Linked DNA regions of Diceros bicornis minor. The protein of the gene in region 3 purifies or fractionates together with the protein of the main gene of each other region. This does not show direct contact. Links are inferred from orthologs where the notes say so. Each region holds a gene or a part of one and is shown on either strand. Other genes may lie near its edges.

Region 1 (7,990 bases), on a different chromosome or scaffold from region 3:
GACCCCAGAGGTCTCACTGGGGGCTACAGCCTCTATCCTGGGGCGCGGCCCTGCTGCAATGGGAGGAAGACCATTGGGAAAAAGGAATGATTTGAAGGGTCATCTTCTGAAAGCCCACTAGCTAAGCTTCCCAAACCCCAAGAGGACAAGTGGCCCTTCCAGAGTTAGGAGGGAAAAGAAGGGCCAGGATGCTTGCAGGTCAGGAGAGATCAAGGAAGACTGCTGGGAATCCAGGGACAGGATCTATCAGAGGCACCCTTCAGCTCCAAGAGCCAAAGAACAGAGGGCCAGCGGGACTGGAGAGAGGTGCCCCCAGATGGGAGCCAGCCAGGCCTTGTCACTACAGTCAGTGTAAACAGTGGGGCCAGACAGGCCAGTTTGAGACATCAAACACTGGTGGGGGGAGCTTTCTGGAGACGATATATGCATTACTGAGTCCCCCGGCCATGGGCTCCTCAGACGCTCTCAGAGGAGCTGGCTGGGGTGTGCAGACCTTATTTAGTGGAGGAACAGCCCCAAGCCCAGACTCTGGACACCATGCCGGAAGGAAGCAGGTGAGAAAGGTGGTACAACATAAGGTGCAGAGGGGACAAGGCAAGGCGAGCCGGCACAGGGAGCCTCCAGACCTAACGCCAGGCTCCAAGCAAACCTGAAGGGAAGCCAGGGAGCCTCCGGGGCAAGTGGCCTGAACAAGGAAAGGCCCCAGAGAGTGGGAGGCAGAGAAGGGCTCCAATAGCCAGGAAGTGGGTCATGTGCATCTTTGTGTTCCCGGGGCTGAGTGTGCCTCCTGCCCATGGAGGCCACAGTAAACCTTCACTAGATGAGCTAATATACTCATTCCACGTGGATTTATTCTACGGCTCCCGGGCACTAAGCAACCAGTGAACAAGAAAAGGTCGCCACCCTCATGAAGTTTACAATCCAAGGGGGAGAGAGAGCCGCAAACCAGGAAGAGCATGGCTAAGATAAGTACAGACAAGACAACAGGCGGTGGGTGAGGGGTGCGCGGTGGGGTGCGGGGTGGGGGGGTGGGGGTGCCAGGGAAGCTCTCCCGGGCTGTGACGTTTAAGCTCAGCTCCCAGGGATGACAAAGCTCTTCACGCAAAGATCTCCAGGCAGAGGGAAGAACAAGGGCCCATTCAGGAGCTGCCCGGAGCCCGCATCAGCCTAAGGGCTCCCTGCCCAGTTGTCCCTTCAATTCTCCAGAGCAGAAATCATCTTTCTAGACACAAACCTCCTCACTCCCTGGCTCCAAACCTTCAGGAGACTCCTGGGTCGTGACGACAGACCCTAGCTCCTCCAGGAGGCGGAAGGGCCTCCGTAAACTGCGTCCTTCCTCCCCTGCCTCAGTCTTCACGGTCCCGCACCGCCACACAGGCCACGCCTGGGGCCTCTGCTCTGTTTCCTCTACCTGGGGCCCTCCTGCCCCCTTGACCTGCCCACCTCAATTGCTGCTCTAAGGCACACCTCACGTGCCAGGCCTCCCAGGCCACCTCACCCACCCACCCACTCGCTGCATGCACCCACTACACACGCTGCACCGGGACCACCTACTATGTGTCACTCTTCCCGATAAGTCTGGACACTCATTAAGGGTGACAACTGGGTCTTATCCATCTCAGTATAACCAGCGCCCAGCAAAGAGCCTGATACGTGATAAGATCCCAATGTGTCTTGAATGAATGAACTCACCAGGTCTTTTTTTTTCTGTTTTTCTTTCTACCAAGCCACCAAGCGCAGCAGTGGTTCACACCCTTGGGTAGATGAGACCCCTGGGAAGATCTTACAACATACCATTGGGGGGAGGGGGACCAATTAAATGAGACTCTCTAGAGGTGTGACCCAGGAAAAGATATTTTTTAAGTTTCCCAGATGTTGAAAATCCCTGATTTACATCCATGTTCCTCAAAGCCAAGTGATAACCAGCCTCATCTGAAAAACTTAAAAAATACACATTCTGCACATTGGGTGTCTGCTGTGTGAGGGTCTCTGTGAAGACCTGAAATCTGTATTTATGACAGTCCCCAGGCAATCCAAATATCAGGCCTAGGAGGTGCTGTCACAGCTGCAGAAACAGCGGGACAGGTTAATAGTGATTGAGCATAGAGTACTTATTAGACCTGTGCTAAATGCTTTATGTACAGAGCCTGAACCAAACCTCCATCAACCCATTTTACAGATGGGAAAACTGAGCGTTCTTTCATTGGTCCCAGGTCACAGAGTAAGTGATAGGAGAAAGGGTCTGCTGGTGTTTCCAAAACTTTCCCAGAAACTATTGTGAAGCCATACTTTATATATATATACAACACACACACACACATATATATATATACACACAGAGCTATATTAGAACATCTGTTAAAAATACATACTCCTAGGTCCCCACCCCAGACCCTTAAGGAGGGAGCTGGACAACCGCATTTTTGTTCTGATTTTTTGGTGGGAGGGGATAAGGCTGCTTTGCTATCACTGCACCGTGCAGCGCCGCCTCCTGAACAGCAGAGGGCGCGCCAGAGCGCTGCCAGGCGACCCCGGCTTGACCCACGGCCCAGAGGGGCCGGGACCCTGGGAGCCTTCCCTCTGAAGCTCTTTAACCATCACCGCCGCTTCGCCCGCCCTCGCCAGCCTGGAGCGCAGGCCCGCGCCCCTCCCCGCGCAAGTGGCGGCCGACGGCAGCGCAAGGTCCAGGCACGTGAGGCCAGGTTCCAGGTGCGTTCCAGGCCCGGGGGCCCCCCTGCCGCCCCCTTACTTGGCATAATAAACCCAGCCGTCCTTGGTGGTTCTCTGCTCCCAGCCCGGGGGCAGCTCGTCCTCGCTGTCCGTGTCGTCCAGGCCCGCGTACTGCAGGGCTGCCATGGCGGCAAAGCTCGGACGCTCGCTCGCTCGCCCGCCCGCTGCCGGGTCTCGGCGCCTAGGAACTCACTCCCGCTTCAACCGAGCGCCGCGCGTCGGGATCCAAACGCTCGCGCCTGCGCACTACGCCGCCCAGAGCCGCTCAGCCCACTCGGTAGCCGTAATCCAGTCTCCGGAGTTTCACAGCTTCCAGCGTAAAAAGGGGCGGGGCCTGAGAAAGACGGCGGTGAAAGCGCCGAGGAGGCCGCACTGCCACTCGGCTGGAAGTAAAACCCGGGGAACGTTGTGTGACTCTGCAGATGGAGCTGAGCTTCGTCAAGCTCCCCGCCTCAGGGAAGGGGCGTGGGCATCCAGTCACGGTCCTGGACTCCGCCTGTTGCTGGGCGACCTGTAATCACTTCCGCATTGTTCTGCCCAATCAGGCAGGCGCTCCAGCAACGGGGCATCCTGGGAAATGTGGTCTAGGCCCCGCCCGACCAGACCGTGGAGCAGAGACGGGAAATGCTGATACTGGTTTTATGGGCTCTAGTCTCTGCTTCTTTTAGGGCATTATGAATAGTGAACGTTTCTGCTCAAACACCTTGCGGAGCTTCCCACCACGAAGGATGATTCCCAAACTTTGTTGTGCTTGGAAACACAACGTTATAAAACGTGCAGAACGTTAAAAATGCAAATTCCCGCACGTTCTGATGACCCAGTCTTGAAGAAGTTTCTCCTAGCCTCAGCATAGTTCTGTTGATGATAAAGGACTAACGTTTATAGAGCGCTTAATTCTGGGCCAGGAATTCCTAGACTCTCTCTTTCAAGTACTGGGCACCTCTGTGAAGTGTGGAATTAGAGGAAAGCAGAGCAGGGGAATAACTGGCAGTTGAGACCCTATTGCTGTATTACAGTTGTTTATGTCTGCGTGCTCCCGACTAAACTGACAGAGAACCACATCTATGCTTCTTTCCGTTTTTTTTATTTTTATTTATTTTTTTGTGAGGAAGATCAGCCCTGAGCTAACATCCATGCCAATCCTCTTTTTGCTGAGGAAGACTGGCCCTGGGCTAACATCCATGCCCATCTTCCTCCACTTTTTGTGGGACGCTGCCACAGCATGGCTTGGCAAGTGGTGCGTCATTGTGTGCTGGGGATCCCAAACCAGGTGGCCAGCAATAGAGCACGCGCACTTAACCGCTATGCCAGGAGGCAGGCCCTATGCTTCTTTCTATGGCTAGCAGTTAGTAAAATGCCTAGACTTACAAGTTTATTGAATGAAGTGAATAAACAAATGAGTGCATGAATGTGATTCCTTAGGTTTGGCCCTCTATAAATCAACGTAGTTCAAAACAAAATTCCCGGTTTGCAAGGTGGCCTCTCTTAAGTCCTCTTGGAGAACCTACAATTATCCTATAAACATCCTGTGTCAAAAACCAGAAGCCTATCTTCAACTTGGCCTTGCCTAAGAAGTTTTCCAGAACATTCCCTGCTTGGAGCTTGCTCCCCCAGCTCAGCATTACAGGGAAATCTACTGACGGTGATTTCTGCTGCCTAGGTCTCAGAAGAATGCAAGCCTCCATCAGCAACATTACATATTTTAAAAGGTTGGGGATGGGGGGCAATGCTGCTTTTTGTCTTCTTCAAGTCCTGAAATTTATATTGCTTTGGGATTCCCACTCTGCATGCTCTTTTTTTGTGTGTGTGTGTGAGGAAGATCAGCCCTGAGCTAACATCCATGCTAATCCTCCTCTTTTTGCTGAGGAAGACTGGCTCTGAGCTAACATCTATTGCCAATCCTCCTCCTTTTTCTTTTTTTCCCCCCAAAGCCCCAGTAGATAGTTGTATGTCATAGTTCCACATCCTTCTAGTTGCTGTATGTGGGACGCGGCCTCAGCGTGGCCAGAGAAGCAATGCGTAGGTGTGCGCCGGGGATCTGAACCCCTGGCCGCCAGTTGCGGAGCATGTGCACTTAACTGGTAAGCCATGGGGCCGCCCCCCATTCTGCATGCTCTTGAGGGGAGACACTCACTTTCCTTTGAAGTTGCCCAACCAAAAGCTAGCTTAACAAAAGCATGTTTTAGTTAACAGGCCCATTATCCCACCTCAGACCTTTGGTATTATCACTCTTTCCAAATCCATGTGCATTTAAATAAGCTACCATTAATTTGCTGCTCTTCTGCTCACCTTGGCTTAATCCTTTGCCCGTCACCAAAGCCAACTTATTCCTTTGATATGAATAGGAAATTAGGTCACGAAGTCCCCTAATGGTGAGGAGGAGGATGAATGGAGTCAAACTGATTAGCCTCAGTTTCTCCGATCATTATCCGTAGCCTCTGCTCGGCTTCTCAAGGATTGACTGCTTAGATTTATCTTGGGTTGCCCTCACCAGAGCCTCTACTGGCACCTGTTGCCTGTGACTTGGCATCAGGCCACAGGTAGTGATATAGTATGGTGTCTTCCTCAGACTGGGTAGTGGTCTCCTTGAAAGAATTCTCAACTTCTGGGTCAGCCCTCTGCTATTCCTACCACTTTCACAATTCCCTCCAGGGCTTCTCAACCTCAGCACTCCTGACATCTGGGGCCAGATAATTCTTTGTTGAAGGGGACTGTCCCGTGCGTTGTAGGATGTCTAGCAGCATCTCTGGCCTCTACCTACTAGATGCCAGTAATGTCCCCCTCCCCCAGCTGTAACAACCAAAAATGTCTCCAGATGTTGCCAGTTCTGCCCCTACCTGAGAACCACTGATCCACAATGACAGTGAGTCAGGTGATTACTAACTCATGAATCAAACACTGATATGGATTTAATTAAGGCAGTGAAGAGCCCGTTTCTGGCCAGAGATTCACAAGGTGGTACTCAGACCCTGCTGGTTCTGATCACCAAGTTCTCTAAGGCTGTCTGAGGGCACTGCCTCTCCAATTCCTAGTCCCTCCGCAGGTGAGAGACATGGGCTGACAGAAGTCTGGCTGGGTGGCCCAGACACAAATAATGGTCCCAAATGGTTATGATGACCTCATTTTATTCCTCTCTCCCTGCATCTTATCCGTGGCCTCTATCAGAAGGTTAAAGACAGGAGACAAACAGGTATTTGGGGATTCATGAGAGTAGGCATGCCAGATTCTAGGATTCATAGTCTTTTGGCTTCATTAAAACTGACACAGTTTTAGTTTTGCTTATTCGATTGCAAGCAACAGAGGTTCATTCAAAAGTTTATGACCAGGGTGCACCTGAGCTAAATTAGGATGTTATCGGGACCTGAGAGAGCCCAAGGACAGCCCATTTCTTTGTCTCTGGTAGGTTTCCTGTCTCTTGCTCCTTCCTCTTTGCTCACATGCTATGTTGTTCTGCTCTCCCCTTACTGGCTTCCTCTAGTCGTAGTTTCTGCTTCTCTTGGACTTGAGCTTGCTCGTGGCTTTGACTTTGGTCTGACAAGGATATATCAAAGGGAGAGCCCTGTTTAGCTTATAAGATTATTATGGGTTTGAGGAGCCTTAAATTTGGCAATGAGCCAGGGTCCTCGACAGGTAACCCTAAGAAAACCTAAAGAATGGTTTGTTTTTGTAAAGCCAGCTGAATCACATTGTGATTAGTGAGGAAGTTAAAATAAAACATCTCAATGTGTGGTAATACAACCACACAGCAGATGGCCCTGTCTGCCCACGATTTTAAAGGCTAAAGCCAATTCCTGAGAAGGATTTCTGCATTTGTTCTTACTGATTGCTCACTTCTGCAATAACTGACGTTATGATGACAAGATTTGATCAGCTTTTGCTGAAAGCAGTTTGGCCTTACACGTGCAGCGGGCACAAGTTTGAGTGTAACGTTCCTGGAGCCACGTTTCTTTAGTTCATTGTCGTTACTGCAATGATGGTCATTTCCCTCCCCTACATGCGCACAAACACGCCAACAATTCTGCACAACCTGCTTCAACTTAAGTCATCATTCTTTGGGAAATTAAGCCTCATGTTTTGATGCCAAACTCAATATGCTAATGAGACCTGGGAAGCTTCTGTCTCTTCTAATAAACTTCTCATGGGAGGTAACCAATAAGGAAGAATATTGAACAGGAGTCGAGGCAAAACTCTTTCTGGTCAATGCGGCCTTACATAGGGAGGTACGTTTGTATTTTACTTATTCATTCAAACACACAAATGAAAAAAAATTATGCTATGTCTCTGAGAGAAACCAAGAAAAACGAAACACACCCTGTAGCCAGAAATCAATTAGGATAAAACCAACAGACACACAAAGAACTCTGGCTTGAGGGTTCTAAAAGACGTTCGAACTAAGACCTATAGGTCTGCAGAGATGGAGAGAGTTTTGGGGAGGGTTTCCTGTAATTTATCTTTGGAACCCAATTCAGCTAATGTCACTTACAAGCTGTGTGTGACAGTGGCCAAGTCCCTTAACTTTCCTTATTCCATTATTATCAGTCCACTTTTTACAGATGAGGAAGCTGGAGCACAAGGAATCTAAGTAATTTGCCCAAGGTCACTGGGTGAGCAAGAGCCAGCAGGAGCTGAGATTAGAATCCAAATAAGGGCATTAGCCCCAGATTCCTGCTCTCAGCCAACTGCCCTGTGAGCTGCCTTTCCAGGTCAGGGGGTCCCCAGTGCTGGTCCTCAGATGGATGCCAAGAGGTTTTCACTCCTCCATGGGAAAGTGAGAAAAATAAGATAAAAGAAATGAATTTTTCATAATGCTAAATATGTTCCACTTAAATATATTACTATCCTTTTATTTTCTATGAGATGACATCTGTCCTTTTATTTTCTGGCGATCTATTTTTTTCCTTTTTCCCAACATGTTTTATTATGAAATTTTCAAACATCCAGAAAAGTTGAGAGAAGAGTACAATGAATGTCTATCTCCCCCCCGCCACGACCACACACACACCTAGATGTAACAATTGATATATTTCTGCCATATTTGCTTTAAAGAGAAAGAATCTGTTGTGTGGGCTGAACCATTTGAAAGTGAATTGCTGACATGAAGGCAGTCGACCCCTGAATACTCCAACAGCTGTCTCCTAAGAATGAGGACATTTTTTTCCATATCCCCAATATCAATGTCACACCTAAGAAAATTAATATTTCCATTACATCATCTACTTGTACTCAAACTGTCATTTTGGATTTTTTTAAATTAAGATAG
Region 2 (7,317 bases), on a different chromosome or scaffold from region 3:
AGACACTGCACCCCTCCTCTCGGTGGCCTGCAAGCGTCTCTCCCAAGGCAGGCTGAAGGACAGGGCTGCTGGGCAAAGGCAGGCAGGATTCCCCCTCCCGCTCACCCTGTCAGTCCCGCACCCCTCCCCTCACTCTATTCCCAGAAACAGAGGACAGTCACTATGCCTCAGGCTGGATGGCCTTGTGTTCTCTTGGTGACTTCACTGTAAACTGACTTCCCTGAAGAGTGGCAGAGGACAAAGGACAGAGGCAGGAAGGGTGGACAGGCTTCACCTGGGACCCAGCAGCTCCTTCCCCTCCCCGCAATTCACATGGAATTCCTCACCACACGCATGCACACCCTCCCTACATCCTGCTCTGTCTTCACAGACAAGCGTCGGGACAGCGTTTCTACAGGGAGGTACTAGGAAGAGGAGACTCCGCGAGAGGCAGAGACCTTGATCTTGGGGGTGTGATATACACTGAGCATAGACTTCCAGGAGCTTCGGGGGTGGGGGCTGGAGTGGAGGTGGGCAATCCCAGCAAAGGCAAGGTGGGGGTGAGGCAGGACATCTAACAGCCCGAGGGCTTCAGCTCTCCCCAGCGCAGATACTTCCTGGAACACCTCCAGCTTTCTTGGGAAGGCTCTGCACCCCCACCCCACCTCCCCTCTGGCTCCTGCACAACAGGAACTCTCCTTGAAGAAAGGACTAGGAGCAGAGGAAACAAAGGCATCTCTGTACCACCTCCCTTTGCCCCCAGGGACGGTTAGGTCAAGGTGACCTCAGTCTGTTCTCCTCAGGGTAGGGGCATCTGCAGGGCCTTCTCAGCTAACCCTGTCTCCAAGGTCAGGCCAGAAACAGGACTTGAGATAATTCTTCTCTTCCTCCATAAACTCGAACCCACCTTCATGTAACACACAGGTCACTCTGCCTCATTCAACAGAGCAGGGGCATGGACTGGCATGGAAATGGAGGCGCCATGCTCCGCGCCACAGAACAATTATGGGCTAGCCCAGCCAAAGGAGACACCTTCACTCTGAGGGTGTGCTGGGGTTTTGGGAAGTTGAGAAAGGCTGTACAGCCATGTGCCACACAACATCGTTAGAGTCAAAAATGGACTGAATATATGATGGTGGTCCCATAAGATTAGTACCATATAGCCCAGGTGTGTAGCAGGCCATACCATCTAGGTTTATGTAAGTACACTCTGTGATGTTCACCCAACGACAAAATTGTTTAATGAAGCATGTCTCAGAGTGTGTCACTGTTGTTAAGTGACACACAACTGTACTGAGACCCTGCCCATAGGGCCAGGCAACTTGGATCCTGGTGCCAGCTGTGGACAGGTCTCTTCCCTGGCGTAATCACAAGGGATGATTCTGGCCCTGCTCACCTTCAAGGTTGTTGCAAGGATGGGTTGAGTTGAAGAATACAGCCATGTTTGTGCATGAATGTGCCATGATTCAGTTCAGGATGTGTGCATGGTGTGCTACTACAAACTAGACTAGGGATTATTATTATTCCCAATAAAATATGGTCAGTCTTCTTTGGGGGAATGTATTCCCATAAGATTTTTTTAATCCTTCCTCATTCCCCATGTAATGCTGCGACTTGAAATTGCAAATGAGGGGCTGTTAGGGGAGGCCAGCCTGCGACCCCAGCTCAGTCTGGACGCTAGGCAGTTTCTGATCTTCCTGAACCCCACATCCTAGGCCTCAGTTTTCTCCTCCATAGTCTGGGCCTCTAAAACCACCAGGGTGCTTTGTGGTGGGAAATAGCAGAGACCAAACCAGGGGGCTGAAAGCAAAAAGAAACCCCAAATTTGACATTTCCGGGTAGTTGTGTTATCCGGAGCTGTGACCACAGCCACCTCTGCCCCCAACCCAGCTCTGACACCTTTCCCTCCTCCGCTCCCTTGGGTGGCTTCTGCTCATCCTGGGAAAGCTCCAAAGCTCCTCCCCCTCTCCCGGCATCTAAAAGGGGGCACAGAGGCCCAAAGAAATGGAGAGAAACCCAGAACCAGACAGAGACCTGGACAGAAAGAATCAAAAGGAGGAAGAGAATCAAAAAGCAAGAGGAGGAAACACGCAAAGAAGGACGCTGGGCTTCAGGGCCTCCTGGCCAGGGAGGCCAAATGGGGAAAGAGCCCGAGGTCGGTGGGGAAGAGCGGTAGCCACTGGACACAAGGCGGGGGTGGGGGGGTGGGGGGGCATGTGAGGGCTTAGCAGGCCCTAGGGCACGTCCTTTTAGGCCAAGCCCTCCAGTTTTGTTCACTGGCACCTCAATGCTAGCATTTTAGGACCCAGGACTACCCCCGCCCTAGCCCAGCCCAGCCCAGCCCAGCCCAGCCCAGCCCAACCCAGCCAGATGTTTGGTGGGTGGGGCTGCCCACTGGAGCAGCAGGCCCCTGCAGGCCCCGGGGAAGAGGCTGGAAAGTTGGCTGCCTGGAAGTGAGCAGGCAGGGTCCCCACTCTGGAGCCGGCACCCCCATATCACCCTCTCCAGATGCCCAGATGTGAGTGCATGGCATCGGTGCTCCTCTGCCCTCCAGACGTGGCTCAGAGGAAACCCAAGGAATTTCTCCCACCGACTGACTTACCTGCTGGAAGTGAGAGGTTGGAGGGCACAGGTGCCAAGTCAGACCCACCCACCATGTGGCAGTGGGTTTGGATCTGCCACTGACAGGCTTTGTGACACTGGCCAAGGTACTTTCTCTCTCCACCCTCTGTTTCCCCATTTGTAAAATCATCTTTACAGTTATTTCCAACTCTGACACTTGACTCTCATCCCAGGTGACCCCCTAGCTCTGTGTGTCTCACCCTCCCCTGCCAAATCCACTGCACAGAGTGGAGGAAGAAGGGAGGGTGGGAGAGGTGTGCTCTCTCCTCCCTAGGGCTCCCCTGCAGAACACCTAAGGAGCAAGGTTTCCCCAGTCCTTTGCAAACCCCCTTATGGTTTTCAATTCCTTTCCTCATGATCCTGCCAACTAAGAGACTGTGACCACACATGGCAGTGGGGGGGGAGGACCCACACATTCCAGCTTCTGCAGCTTTAAACTTCAGTTTTTCTCTGAGGTAAAAAGAATGAAAGTGGGGGAGGTAGTGAGGGGCAAGGAAGGTAGGGGAGTGGATGGGGGGAGGGAATGGAGAGAAAGGGGCAGATCCAAGAAGGCATTAGGGAGGGAGGGAGGAAGAGGAAAATGATTCCCCCCAGGACACATGGTCTCAGCCCAGCTGGGCCTTGAGTGAGCAGCCAGGCTGTCTCCTCCATTTGTGCTGCCAATACCAGCTGCCAGGCAGAGGGGAGGCCCAGAGGAGAGGGAAGCTGGGCAAAGGGGATGGAAAGCTTCCAGTCTGGCCTTGCCCAACACCGCAGGCCCTGCAGGCTGTCAGTGAGGGGGCTGTGACCCAGGAAAGGCTCAGGGAGGGTGTTCCCTGCTCTGGCAAGGCCCATAGGCAGTCGTGAGCTTGTGAGGATTCAAGATAGCCCTCCCTGGACCTTTCTGAAGGTAGGACCGGCCTCAGATGTGACTGGGCTGGGTGAACAAAGCGGCAGGGTCATTTATGGATCATACTCTGCTGACTAGGCCATGTGCCACAGTGTGACTCTCGGCAAGCCCCTTCCCCTCTCTGGACTTCTGTTGCTTATTTGCAAAATTTCAGGAGGTTGGGTGAGTGCACGGTGGTGGGAGTAATGGAAGGAGGGGAGCTGGGGCCCTGGGAGCGAGCTGGCTTCTCTGGAATCTTCAGTCTTTCCCCTCCCTATGGCTTTGCCTCTGAGGTCACAAAAGCTGTGTCCCCAACCCACATAAACACACACGCGCACACACATTTACTCTTTTAATCTAGAGACTCAATAGATGACAAGCGCCAGAACTGGAAGGATATCCAGCTAGTCTAGCCCTTGCCTCCTCCCTTTTTACAGATGAGAAAACTGAGGCCCTGGTTTGGGATTTCCAGAACCCGGGATTTCCCGGCTCTGCCACCCCCGTCCTCCGGCCACCCCTGCGCCTCTGGCCCGCCACAGTCCCGGGCCGCAGGCCGCTGGGACTCCCGGGGGAGCCCGCCGTCGGGGCAGTCCCCACGCCCAGCGCCACCCAGCCTGGCCACCCCGGGGCCGGCCGCGGCCGCCGCTGCGCACTCGCCGGGGAGCCAGCGACCGAGGGCGGAGGCAGGGAGGGAGCGACAGCGGCTGGGAGGGGTGTTGGCGAAAGCTCGCGCGCTGTGTTTGGTCTATCGGAGGCAGCTGACCTTTGAGGAGGAAATCGCTGCTCTCTGCTCCTTCCTGTAGTAACAGCCGCCGCCGCCGCCGCCAGCAGCCCGGGCCGGGAGCGAGAGCCGAGGGGCGGAGAGCCGGTCCCGCCGCCGGACGGCTCGGCGCGACCAGGTGGGTGGCCCGGCAGCGCGTCCCGGGCGGCGCGCGCGGCGAGGGGGCACTCGACTCCTGCCCTGGCCCCCGGGACCCGAAGCCCGACGGCTGGGCGGGGTGCAGGGGACCGTCCCGGGACCGAGAGGGAGTTTCGGCGCAGCGTGCAGCGCGGACCAGGAACGAGGGACGCGGATGGAGGGAGGGGGCCGAGGGTGGGCGCCGTCCTCGCCCGCAGTGGGCAGGGGGCGCTGTTGGGATCAACAGTGGGAGACCATGGGGCACAGCTGGGGGGGCAGCCGAGGAGAGGGAGAGCGTCTGTCTCCCCAGCCCTCTTTTCTAACAACCCCAGACACGTGCCCGCGGGGATGAGTCGTCCAGTGGGAGCCGTCGGTGGCGTTGCCCTAACTTTGGGCTAGATTATCCCTCCTTCCCAGAAATTGGGAGTCGGGGTTCCAGGCAGGGTAGGGGGGATTCTTGTAGCCCTCCCCAGAGGGCCCGTGGGCCTCTGCCAAGTTTCTCTTTCAGTTTCCAGCTGTCCCCCCTCTGGGGAAGCCCCAGTGGGGCTAGGGGAGAGGAAGAGGCGGAGGGCACCTGACTTTTGAGAGCCCCTCCCCAAGCCTCAGCAGGTTCCTTGTTGGAGGGAAGGGCAGCCCCCCCCATCTTTCTTCCCGCACAGGAAAGCGTGTCTGTAGGAGGGGAGGGGCATGGCCTGACCGCGGTCCAGGGATGGGTGGGCATGGCAGGGCCACGGGCAGGCCCAGCCCTCGCCTCTGCCGAGGAGACGAGGAGGGGCCTCTTCAGCTCTGTACTCGCCCTAGGTGAACGGACATGGCGGGCTGGATCCAGGCCCAGCAGCTGCAGGGAGATGCGCTGCGCCAGATGCAGGTGCTGTACGGGCAGCACTTCCCCATCGAGGTCCGGCATTACTTAGCGCAGTGGATCGAGAGCCAGCCCTGGTAGGTGCCCCTGCCCTGCGCCTTCCTCTGCGGGTCCCTACCATCCAGGCCCCTTGGCTTTTAGGTCTCCCCTTTGTGGTTTGGTGTGATTCTGGTCCTGTCTATTCCTCTTTGTGCGGAAGGGGCGGTGTCCCTGGGAAAGGGGAAGAGAGAAATGGGACCCTGGGAGGGGAGAGGGGATGTTGCTAGACTGTGATGCCTGTGGAGATGCCGGGAACAAGTCTTGTGGGCTCTGGAGCGCCCTTAGTCAGGAGCCTGGGATTTCCATGTCCCTCGTGGCGCTTGACCTGCTTGCCCGAGGAAGTGCCACAGTAGGCTTCTCCCACTGCCCTGCCCCAAGGGATGCCATCGACCTGGACAATCCCCAGGACCAAGCTCAGGCCACCCAGCTCCTGGAGGGCCTGGTGCAGGAGCTGCAGAAGAAGGCGGAGCACCAAGTGGGGGAAGATGGGTTTTTACTGAAGATCAAGCTGGGGCACTATGCCACGCAGCTGCAGGTGGGTGTGCGCTCGGAGCCATCTGCAGGGAAGCAGTGTCCGCCTTCTCTTTCCAGCATCAGAACCCCTGGGTTTTTTCCTGGCTTGGCCACTGACTCACCATGTGACCCTGAGCTTATCGGCAACTTTTCTGTGCTTCAATTTCCCCCACCCCCTCTTTCTAAATCAGACCTGTCAGATTCCTTTAGCATATTATGAGGCAAGGGGTGGGGCGTGTTTGTCCCCAAGAGAAGGGGGATGGGTGAAATGCCATTTGGGACAGATCAAGCAGATCAAGCAGGAGGGCTGGAAGTAGTCAAGATTCCTTTGTTAGAGAAAGGAAGACTGACAGGTTCTAGAAATGAGAGAATGAGGCAACGAGTCATCCCTCTTGGGACTCTTCTAAAGGTAGGAGAGCTGCTGAACTGGGGCGGGAGAGGAGCAGAAGTGCCCTGGAGGCGAGAGCTGGATAAATGAACCTTGAATTCAGGGTTTAGATGTAACATTTAGTTTCTCCTTCACGTGGAAGGTGAGGAGAAGGAGTATAGGGAGAGAGGAAGTTTTTGCAAAGCAGGAAAGGGGTGTGGGTGGTAATCATAGTCAAGCAGTCAAGCATTTGGAACTCACTTGTATTTCTCAGAAAACCCTTCTTAAATACAAGCAGCAGGGTGCCAGGGAAATAAAGTCCATCCCAGAAGAAGGAGGAAACAGGAGAAACCTGGGGGCAAGAGGGAAGCAAAATAGGAACCCAGGGCAGGAGTATGGTGGAAAGTACCTTGACCTTGGCATTAGATGCCCTGAGTCCTGAGTCATCTGCTCACTCATTTGTTTGCCTCTAGACAAGTACTTAACCTCTCTGAGCATCAGTTTTCTCATCTGTGAAATGGGGATAATAGTTTCTGCTTATGTCATAGGATTTCTATGCTGTGAAACTCAAAGGAGATGGTAGATTGGAAGTGTTTGTAAACTGTGGGTTTCTAATGCCCTGAAAACCCAATGTGAAGATCTGGGAGGGGAAACGAGTCAAAGAGAGATAGAGGCAACTGGTGACAGTTCCTGAGGCTTCCCTGGGAAAGCTGAGGCAGGGGCTAGAGGGGAGGGCGGGGTGGGCATGGCACTGCAGAGGGCGGCCACTGGTAGCTGCTGTTGGATTCTTTCAGAACACGTATGATCGCTGCCCCATGGACCTGGTCCGCTGCATCCGGCATATTCTATACAATGAACAGAGGCTGGTCCAAGAAGCCAACAATGTGAGTGTCCCATGGGTATGGGGAGAGAAGTTGGGAAGTTCTTCCATATGCCTTTCTCTCCAGACAACTGTGTTTTATAAAGACAGGCAGGAGAGAGCACCAAAGAGCTGAGAGACATGAACATGTGTGTAATGGACATGGACGTGGACGTGGACAATGGGCATGTGTAAGAGGCAATATTACATGCAGGTGTAGAGTGACCCCCTGGCTTCAGTCCCTGGCTCTACCACTTAATAACTGTGTGACTTGAGCAAGTTACTTAACCTCTCTGAGCCTCTGTTTTTT
Region 3 (7,472 bases):
ACTCCAGGAAGACAGAAATTTTGGAACTAGTCCTTTTGGTGGTAAAGTCTTTATAATTGTCATTATAAAGGGCCTTTGGCTATAATATTTCTAGATAAAATGAATCACTAGAAATGAGACAAACTGCTTCAGAATTACTAAAAGATCATCTTCTCTAAAGCTGATTTTTTTCCAAACAAAAGAAGAAAAAATCAAAACAGGTCCTCTTCCTTTACAATTATTTTAAGAAATATCTTAGATCTAGACAACAGAATCCCCCCTATATTTTTATTCTGTTCACATAGAGCAGTAAATAAGGTGCATTCCTTCTGCTTAAGAAATTAGCATTTCAAAAATATGCCACTTTCCCCTGAACTCCAAGCGTGTCTAATAATGCGAGAAGCAGATTGTCTTCCCTCGTTTCCTTAATTTGTTTCATCTAAAAGCAATTCACTCAACATCTTGTCGCCCTCTGGCAGCTTAGTTTACTTATCCGCACTTAATTTCTCATTTGGACCAAAACAAACTCCTGCAAACTGCTACTGACTGCTAACCGCGAGAGGGGAGACACGCAATATGTATTTACTTGGGAACATACAGACACACAAACACAGCCACACACACACACACAGAGCCTCACTCATACACCAGACAGTCACTTGGTTTTATAAAAGCACAACATTAAAACCCGCGGAACTTCCCCCGCCAGGTGCCGGGGTTGGGGCGGGGTAGGAGTGGGTAGGATGAAAAAAGAAGTCCCCGGGGGCGTTTACAGTTTGCAGCGGATCTCCTTAGCCTGCGAGCTGCAGTTACACCAGGGATGCGCGCGAGAGCTCTTCGTTGTGCGGCCCTTTCATCTAGATCACTTTGTGTTTGGAACCAGGGAGGCTCGCCTTTGTGCCCCCAGAATTTCAAGTGCACAGCCACACACGGGACAACAATGGCACGCTAATCCTCGCGCTCTAAATGGGCTCAATTGTGGGTCTGACAATTCGCGGGGGGAAGCGAGGAGAGACGAGCGAGGGCGCGAGCCGGTGTCGCCTGAGACGAGGAAGGGGACAGCTGCAGAACTAATTTGGATTACATCCCTCGCAGAAATTCTGAAAAGGGCTTTTCGGCATAGCTCAACCTCGAGCCGCACAGTTAAGCCCAAATTGCTGCGGACTCGGAGCCGGGTCCCCCAGCGGCTGAGGCTGAACCAGACAGCCCCCAGTAGGTCGCCTCGTAGAAATTCCTCTCGGCTAAGCCTGCCTGTCAGTCGCCGCTGCTTTTGAATGGGTCAATGTGCATAATCAACCCATTGAGGGCAAATATGAAGGGACCCGGGGTAGGGAGGGGGATAAAAAGGGATGTAGCTAAGAGGCCGCTTGGAATCTCGAGTCCGTGTTGGTGTCAGTCCGGAGGTGGCCGGAGCGCGGGACCCGGTATGCATGAAGAATTTCGGGGTAATTGGGAGGGTGCAAACGGCCAGAACAGACAGCGCGCATTGTGCCATTCGAAGGTCATTCTGAAAGACTCGGTGATTGTAACTTGTTATTTACTAGGCAAGGAGGGGGCGGCGGCGGCGGGGGCGGAGCGGCGAACTACAGCGCGCTGTTTTCTTGGTGAGGTCAGCAGGACACCCTCCGGGGGCCTGAAGCTCTCCTATCTACACTCCCGGGAGCTTTATCTCCCCTAGCTGCCTCCCACGCTCCCGCGACCAGCCCTGGATGGCTCCGGAAATCTCTCTGGCTCTCCAAAAGGCCCCCCTGGCCGCGTGAGACACCGCTTCTCCTCCGTCCTTTCCTGTCCCACGTTCATCCCCAGGAAACTCAAGTGTCAGAAACTTGGAGCTCCCTCGCACTGCAGGCGCTATCACTAGCCCTGCGCGGCGCGGAGCGCCGGCCCCACTGCGCTGCCTCCCCGGGGTCAACTGGCCGTCTGCCTGTCCGGGTCACCGGCGCGCAGGCTCTCCAGCAAACAGTGGCCGCGCACCCGGCGCAGCCACGCCCGCCTGGGGTTCAATCCATCCGCGCGACGGGTCGGCTCGGCAGCCACGCCGGGCAGTAAACAGAGAAGTTGGAGGGACTCCGGCCAATAGCAAGTTGAACTACAGGAAGAACTCTTCCTGGTGCCAAACACAGCAACCGACGGGAAGGCCGGGCTCCCGGCTCAAGTATGTCAAGCCTTTTTTTTTTTTTTTTTAAGGAGTCAGGCGGCCAAGCCAGCTCCCCTCCAGTCAACGGGGCGAGGGCTGCGGGACGCCGGCCGAGGAGGCCCAGAGTTCCGGGCCCCCGGCCGAGGCGCGCGCGCCGGCCCGCCCGCCGCGCTCCAGCTGCCCAGGCTGGGCTCAAGTCGGGTCTGACCCCGCAAGGCTCGGGCGACTGGGGGCGCGGTGGCCGCCGGCAGCACACACAGGTGCAAAGCCCGGCTCTCGGAGCTCCTCTCCCCACAGCCCTCGCGCTCCTAAGCAGCCCAGCCGGCAGCGCCCCGGGACCCCGTCCGTCGCGGCCCTGGCAGTGCGCGCCTCTCCGAGGCTTCTCCCTCCGGGGGCGCAGACGGGGAGCGGACCGTCTCCCCTGACTCGGGATTCGGGTCTCCCACGTCCTGCACAAGCGCGCCCAGAGAGATTCCGCTTAGGCTCATAGAAAACGCGCCAGAAAGAAGGGGGTTCGGGGGAGAGAAAAAGGGAGAGGGGCGCAGAGGGATTTTTCACGATCCATAAAACACACGCACAGACAGAGGGTAAGTTTGGGGACAGAAAGAGGGGCGAACGAAAGCCCCAGGATGAGGCCCCGGTGGAGTGGTCCCTCCGCGCCCGGGAGCGAGCGGGTCTCAGGCTGGGCGAAGGGGGCGCGGGCGCTACCATCGCGGCCAAGCCGGCGGCAGCAGGTTCCACCCCGGGAGCGCGACAGGGAACCGCGACCCACCTGACTGAGAAGCGCTGGGCTGGACGGTCCCCGCCGCCACGAGAAGGCTCCCCCAGACCCACAGTCCTGTCGCCAGCTTCATTTTTTGGACGTCTCAGATCCCGTGCTGACAATTACATGTCCAAATGGCATATCCCCTTTCGGGCACGCGGAGGAGAGCCCGCAGCCAGGCGCGCGTGGGGGCGCAAGGGGGACAGGCGCGCGTGGGGGCGCAAGGGGGACCGGCTCCGAGCGGGGACGCCCGGTCCGCGGGTCCGGGGCCGGGGCCCCGAGGAGAGGAGAGTGTGCGCGCGCGTGGGAGGGTGCCCGAGTGTGTGCGCGGGGCGCTCCGGGCCGGACTGTGCAGCTATTCCCCGTGTGAGCCTTCGCTGTCTCGCTCCCTCCTCACTTTCTCTCTCTCACTGGTTGGTCCACGATAAAAAGGAAGGGGGAAAAAGGTTTCCAAAAAAAGTTGATTGCAAAGAGGCGGTAGGTTTCCGGCCTCTCCCCCCAGCCGCGCTATGTTCGGCTCCCTTTGCAGTGTCCCTGCACCTCCAGTCCAAATTGGGAGGGAAGGGGGGGGGAAGCGTCCTGCTTCTCCCCCGATCCCGTCCTCCTTTTCCCTGTCAGCTTGCCTCACGCTTGTCCGGCGGCTGCGGTAATTAAAGCTCCGAGCGTCACTTCCAACGCTCCGCGGTCTCCAGCTGCAGCCCCACAGAGAAATTAATAAGGCTCCGGCAGAAAAAAAAGGGGGAGGGGGCGGACAAAACCACCCTCACGCAGCCAGCCTGGCTCGGCTCGGCCGCGCAAACCCCGCCCCCGCTCTGACCCAACTAGCCACGCCCTTTCGCCCGCCCCCCCAAAGGGAAATCTTATTGGCTCAGCCACTCCCCAAAATCCTCGGCCTCAGGAGTTGGGAAAACACCTGTCAGGGAGCCGGAGGGGGGGGGGTGTGGGGGCGGAGAAGCCGGATTTAAAGGGCTCACCCGAGGCCACAGACTGAAACAGAGGCCCGGGACAGCTGGCCCGTGGAGCGCGCGGACCACACGAGGGATGCTTGCAGAAAAGATCTTTTTTAAACAAGAAAGTCACCATTTTTTCGTATTGCCCCACGGTGCTCATCCACAGACTGGATTTTCCCTAGAAATAGAAGAAAAGACAACGTTGCTTCCGGCTAAAAGCCTCCCCCCAACTCTCTACCCGCACCCTCCCATTCTCTACGCTCAGAGAGTAGTTTAAAAGCCGATTCAGTGACTGTTAGCCTCTGCAGATTGGAAGTCCGGATCCCTTTTCTCAGCCTCGCCGGCTCTCCCAGTATTCCCACCATTCCAAACTGACCAACACTGCGTCAGCTGAAAACTCCGCATTTGTAGAGCTGCATCCTTTGATTTTAGACTTGATGAGTCTTTTCACCTTTTCCTTGGACTCGAGGACGACTTGGTTTGGGGTTCATTCTCATTAAGTAGATTCTAGTCCAAACCTACTGATTTGGTTCTAAAGAGCTAGAAATTGTCCCAGGCCTGAGCTATTCAGTCTGAAAGGATTAAGAAGCCCATGTCAGGGATAACCAACCTCAGATGATTAGGCTTCCTCGACAGCGGACCCAGCTCTAGGCTCCTTCCAGGTTTTCACTCTGCAAGGTCACCGCTCCCCAAGCCCCAGGTCATTGCTAGCTGTGGGAGTTTCCGGGTTCTTCTGGATCTAAAATATCCTGGGATTGGGTCATATCTGTGTACATATCCCTCGCCTTTTACAGCTCTGGAACTGTACCCTGGGCAGAGGCCAGAACCTCCTGGGAGGTTGTAGGTTATTGGTTTGCTATTTGCACAGGCATTCTTTGTATGGATTATTTTCCTTTTTCAGTTTCTCTAGAAGCAGCAAATATATAAATGAAGAGTATCAGGGGAACTTAAAAATCAAGCCACCTGCCTCCTCACCCATCATTTGAGACCTTCCCCTTCCTCCTCCACATCTTTTATCTATAGCCTTGTCCCTTAAGAATTTCCAGGAGCTGAGCACAGGGAGAAAAAACAGCCTCTTTCCAGAAGCCCGAAGCCTTCCCTTTCTTAGGCCCACAGCTAGCAGCAGGCACAGAGAGGAGGCCAAACAGGTTGAGCATGCTGTTTTACCCAGAAGCAGCCTTGGGCCAGGAGAAGCTAAGCCTAGAGCAGGTGATGGTGACTTCACCAGAGTGGTACTGATTGCAGCAGAACTGTGCACACTGCTCTTTGGGATTATCTTTGTTTTCTATTTTTATCACCTCGACTCTCTGTTTTCTTTTCTTTCATTCCATTTCTTCTCAGCATCCTTGTCTCAAATCCCCTTCTACTACTTTTAATGAATTTCAGACACCTCTCTTCCATGAAAGCTTCTTCTTTTTAAAATTTCCATTCTGTCCCCAGAATAACAACTTAAGCGATTCAGGATTAAGTTTCTGTATCAAAAAGAGAAGTCTTGTTTCTGATAACAATTATGTTGCAAGAAGTGAAGAAATAGATTGTGTACTTTAACTTAAAGTTGAGGGAAACATTAAATACTCTGAATATGTTGAGTTTTTTAAAATATATTTGTGTCTGTCGTGATAGCTTTTACTCCTCCACGAATTTTATGGCGATTTTGTTGCTATAAAATTGTGGCAGGAGGGGCTGGCCCAACTGCTTCGGCAGCCCGGGGTTTGCAGGTTCGGATCCCGGGCACAGACTGACACACCACTCACCGAGCCATGCTATGGCGGCGTCCCATATAAAGTAGAGGAAGATGGGCACGGATGTTAGCACAGGGCCAATCTTCCTCAGCAAAAAAGAGGAGGATTGGCAATAGATGTTAGCTCAGGGCTAATCTTCCTCACAGACAAAAAGTAAATAAATAAAAAATAAAATAAATAAAATTTTGTCAGAAACTCTCCTATACACTTTGATCCCATTTTCCTGGTTTTAACTGATTGAAACAATGATTAATACCTGGCCAAATTTGGGTATCTGAGCTGCAGCCTATAAAATGAATTGGCAAGAAAGCTCTATGCCCAAAAAGCATCCTATATTCAATGGTGACTGGTCTACCCAAGCAGAGTCTAGTTCAAATAATTTGAATATGAGACCCTAGAGACTTAGACAGAAGGTGGTATTCTGTGGGGGCAAACTGGAAGTGAAAACATAGAAGCCATGAGCTAGAGTCAAGAATTAATTCTTTTTGTGTTTGCTCCCATTTGCTTCCCAACATCTAAGGAGGGGACATTTGCCACCTGATGTGGAAAGCACATGCTAACTGGATTGCTAGAGGATTTCTGAGATGGGTCTCTGTATTTCTTCATTTTCCTATCGATCTTTATAATAGATCCCCATCAGTTGAGTTAACTAAAATATGTTGCTGTTATTTGCAACCTGGAAAAAAACACATCTAGTAACCCATCATGTTACTTAGCAAACCGTAGGTGAATATCTGGAATTATCTGCTCAGTACCCCTTTTCTAGGAACTGTCCTTCCCTCAGTTGTACATCTTTAACTTGGGTCTGCCTCCATGGTACAACAATCCCCACTCCCTTGTTCTAAGTTGGACCAATCAAAATGCCTTCATCACTGATGATTGGTTGAGAGATGGTCATTTCTGCTCAGTATCTTCCCTGGGATTTTTGTGCATGGGAAAGAAAGAGTTCATATTCTTTCATTCACTGGTAGCTTTTGAGATCTAAAAGTCCGGAGTTGGCCTGTCTATATTTCCTTCTTTGTAGGGATAACCAGGCTGCGGTGAGAAAGAGTGAAGCTGCCATTTGAAAGGAGCCAAAGCCCAGGAAGGTCTGGAAAAATACTCAAGCTGTTCCTGTTGCTTAGTTGTTCAAACCCCGTTTTTCCTTAAGCTAGTTCAATTTTTGTTTTTGAAACCAGAACTCCTGAAATGGTAAAAGAACTTCTGAAACCAGAACAGCGTGAAGTGGTAAAAGAACTTCTCCAGCCTGAGTGAGCTCATAGAGACCATCACGCCCCTTGAGGAGGATGTCTTGATATGGCCCATGTTCAGTTTCCCTTCCCAGTTTCTCATGACTTCCCTTGGCTGAAGCCAGAACCCCAACAAAGAGATTCCTTTGGCCTTTGCTGCTTCCCCATATCTCCTTCTCCACTTCATTTCTTCCATTAGTGGTAGAATTCAAAGAGAGTCTTGACATCATGAGTGACAGAATGCTACTGGTGAGAGAAAGGAACACATTGATCTCAGAGTTCAATGTTGAGTTGGACACTTAACTTTGCCCAGAGTCTGATAGCTCACTTCAATCTCCTGCTTGTTTCTAAGACTTCCCTAAAGGTAAGATTAGAGCTTGCTGCTTTAGACATTTTGTCATTGGCCATAAGTATAAATTTCCGATAAATATCAACTAAGAAAAGAAAACAACACCCTATTGTAAATCAGTTATCTTCTCCTGAACATTTTAAAATAAATACAGGATTCTAATTTTCCCTCCCTGTCCATCATGATCTCCCTCGTCATCTTTCTAAGTTATCTTGTGATCATGAGAAACTTACTTCATATACCTACACCCATTGCCTTGTCTTTAAAGGAAGGGATTGTTATGTCCCAAATCTAAGACTTCGGGGCCGGCCTGGTGGCGCAAG

The links.
Region 1: the proteins of ERBB4 (region 3) and WWOX purify together in Homo sapiens (affinity purification with western blotting; 4 studies listed by BioGRID). This does not show direct contact. The link is inferred for Diceros bicornis minor from reciprocal best matches to the Homo sapiens genes ERBB4 and WWOX.
Region 2: the proteins of ERBB4 (region 3) and signal transducer and activator of transcription 5A purify together in Homo sapiens (affinity purification with western blotting; 3 studies listed by BioGRID, with this or other methods). This does not show direct contact. The link is inferred for Diceros bicornis minor from reciprocal best matches to the Homo sapiens genes ERBB4 and STAT5A.

Annotation. Positions count from the first base shown.
Region 1 is NC_080771.1:28,083,792-28,091,781, reverse strand, and holds the start of WWOX (WW domain-containing oxidoreductase), read right to left. Parts: upstream 3,096-7,990; 5' UTR 2,857-3,095; coding exon 2,750-2,856; intron 1-2,749. UniProt on the Homo sapiens protein: Putative oxidoreductase. Acts as a tumor suppressor and plays a role in apoptosis. Required for normal bone development. May function synergistically with p53/TP53 to control genotoxic stress-induced cell death.
Region 2 is NC_080757.1:41,439,976-41,447,292, forward strand, and holds the start of signal transducer and activator of transcription 5A, read left to right. Parts: upstream 1-4,272; 5' UTR 4,273-4,368; intron 4,369-5,168; 5' UTR 5,169-5,178; coding exon 5,179-5,306; intron 5,307-5,646; coding exon 5,647-5,803; intron 5,804-6,942; coding exon 6,943-7,032; intron 7,033-7,317. UniProt on the Homo sapiens protein: Carries out a dual function: signal transduction and activation of transcription. Mediates cellular responses to the cytokine KITLG/SCF and other growth factors. Mediates cellular responses to ERBB4.
Region 3 is NC_080776.1:3,746,216-3,753,687, forward strand, and holds the start of ERBB4 (receptor tyrosine-protein kinase erbB-4), read right to left. Parts: upstream 3,046-7,472; 5' UTR 2,971-3,045; coding exon 2,889-2,970; intron 1-2,888. UniProt on the Homo sapiens protein: Tyrosine-protein kinase that plays an essential role as cell surface receptor for neuregulins and EGF family members and regulates development of the heart, the central nervous system and the mammary gland, gene transcription, cell proliferation, differentiation, migration and apoptosis.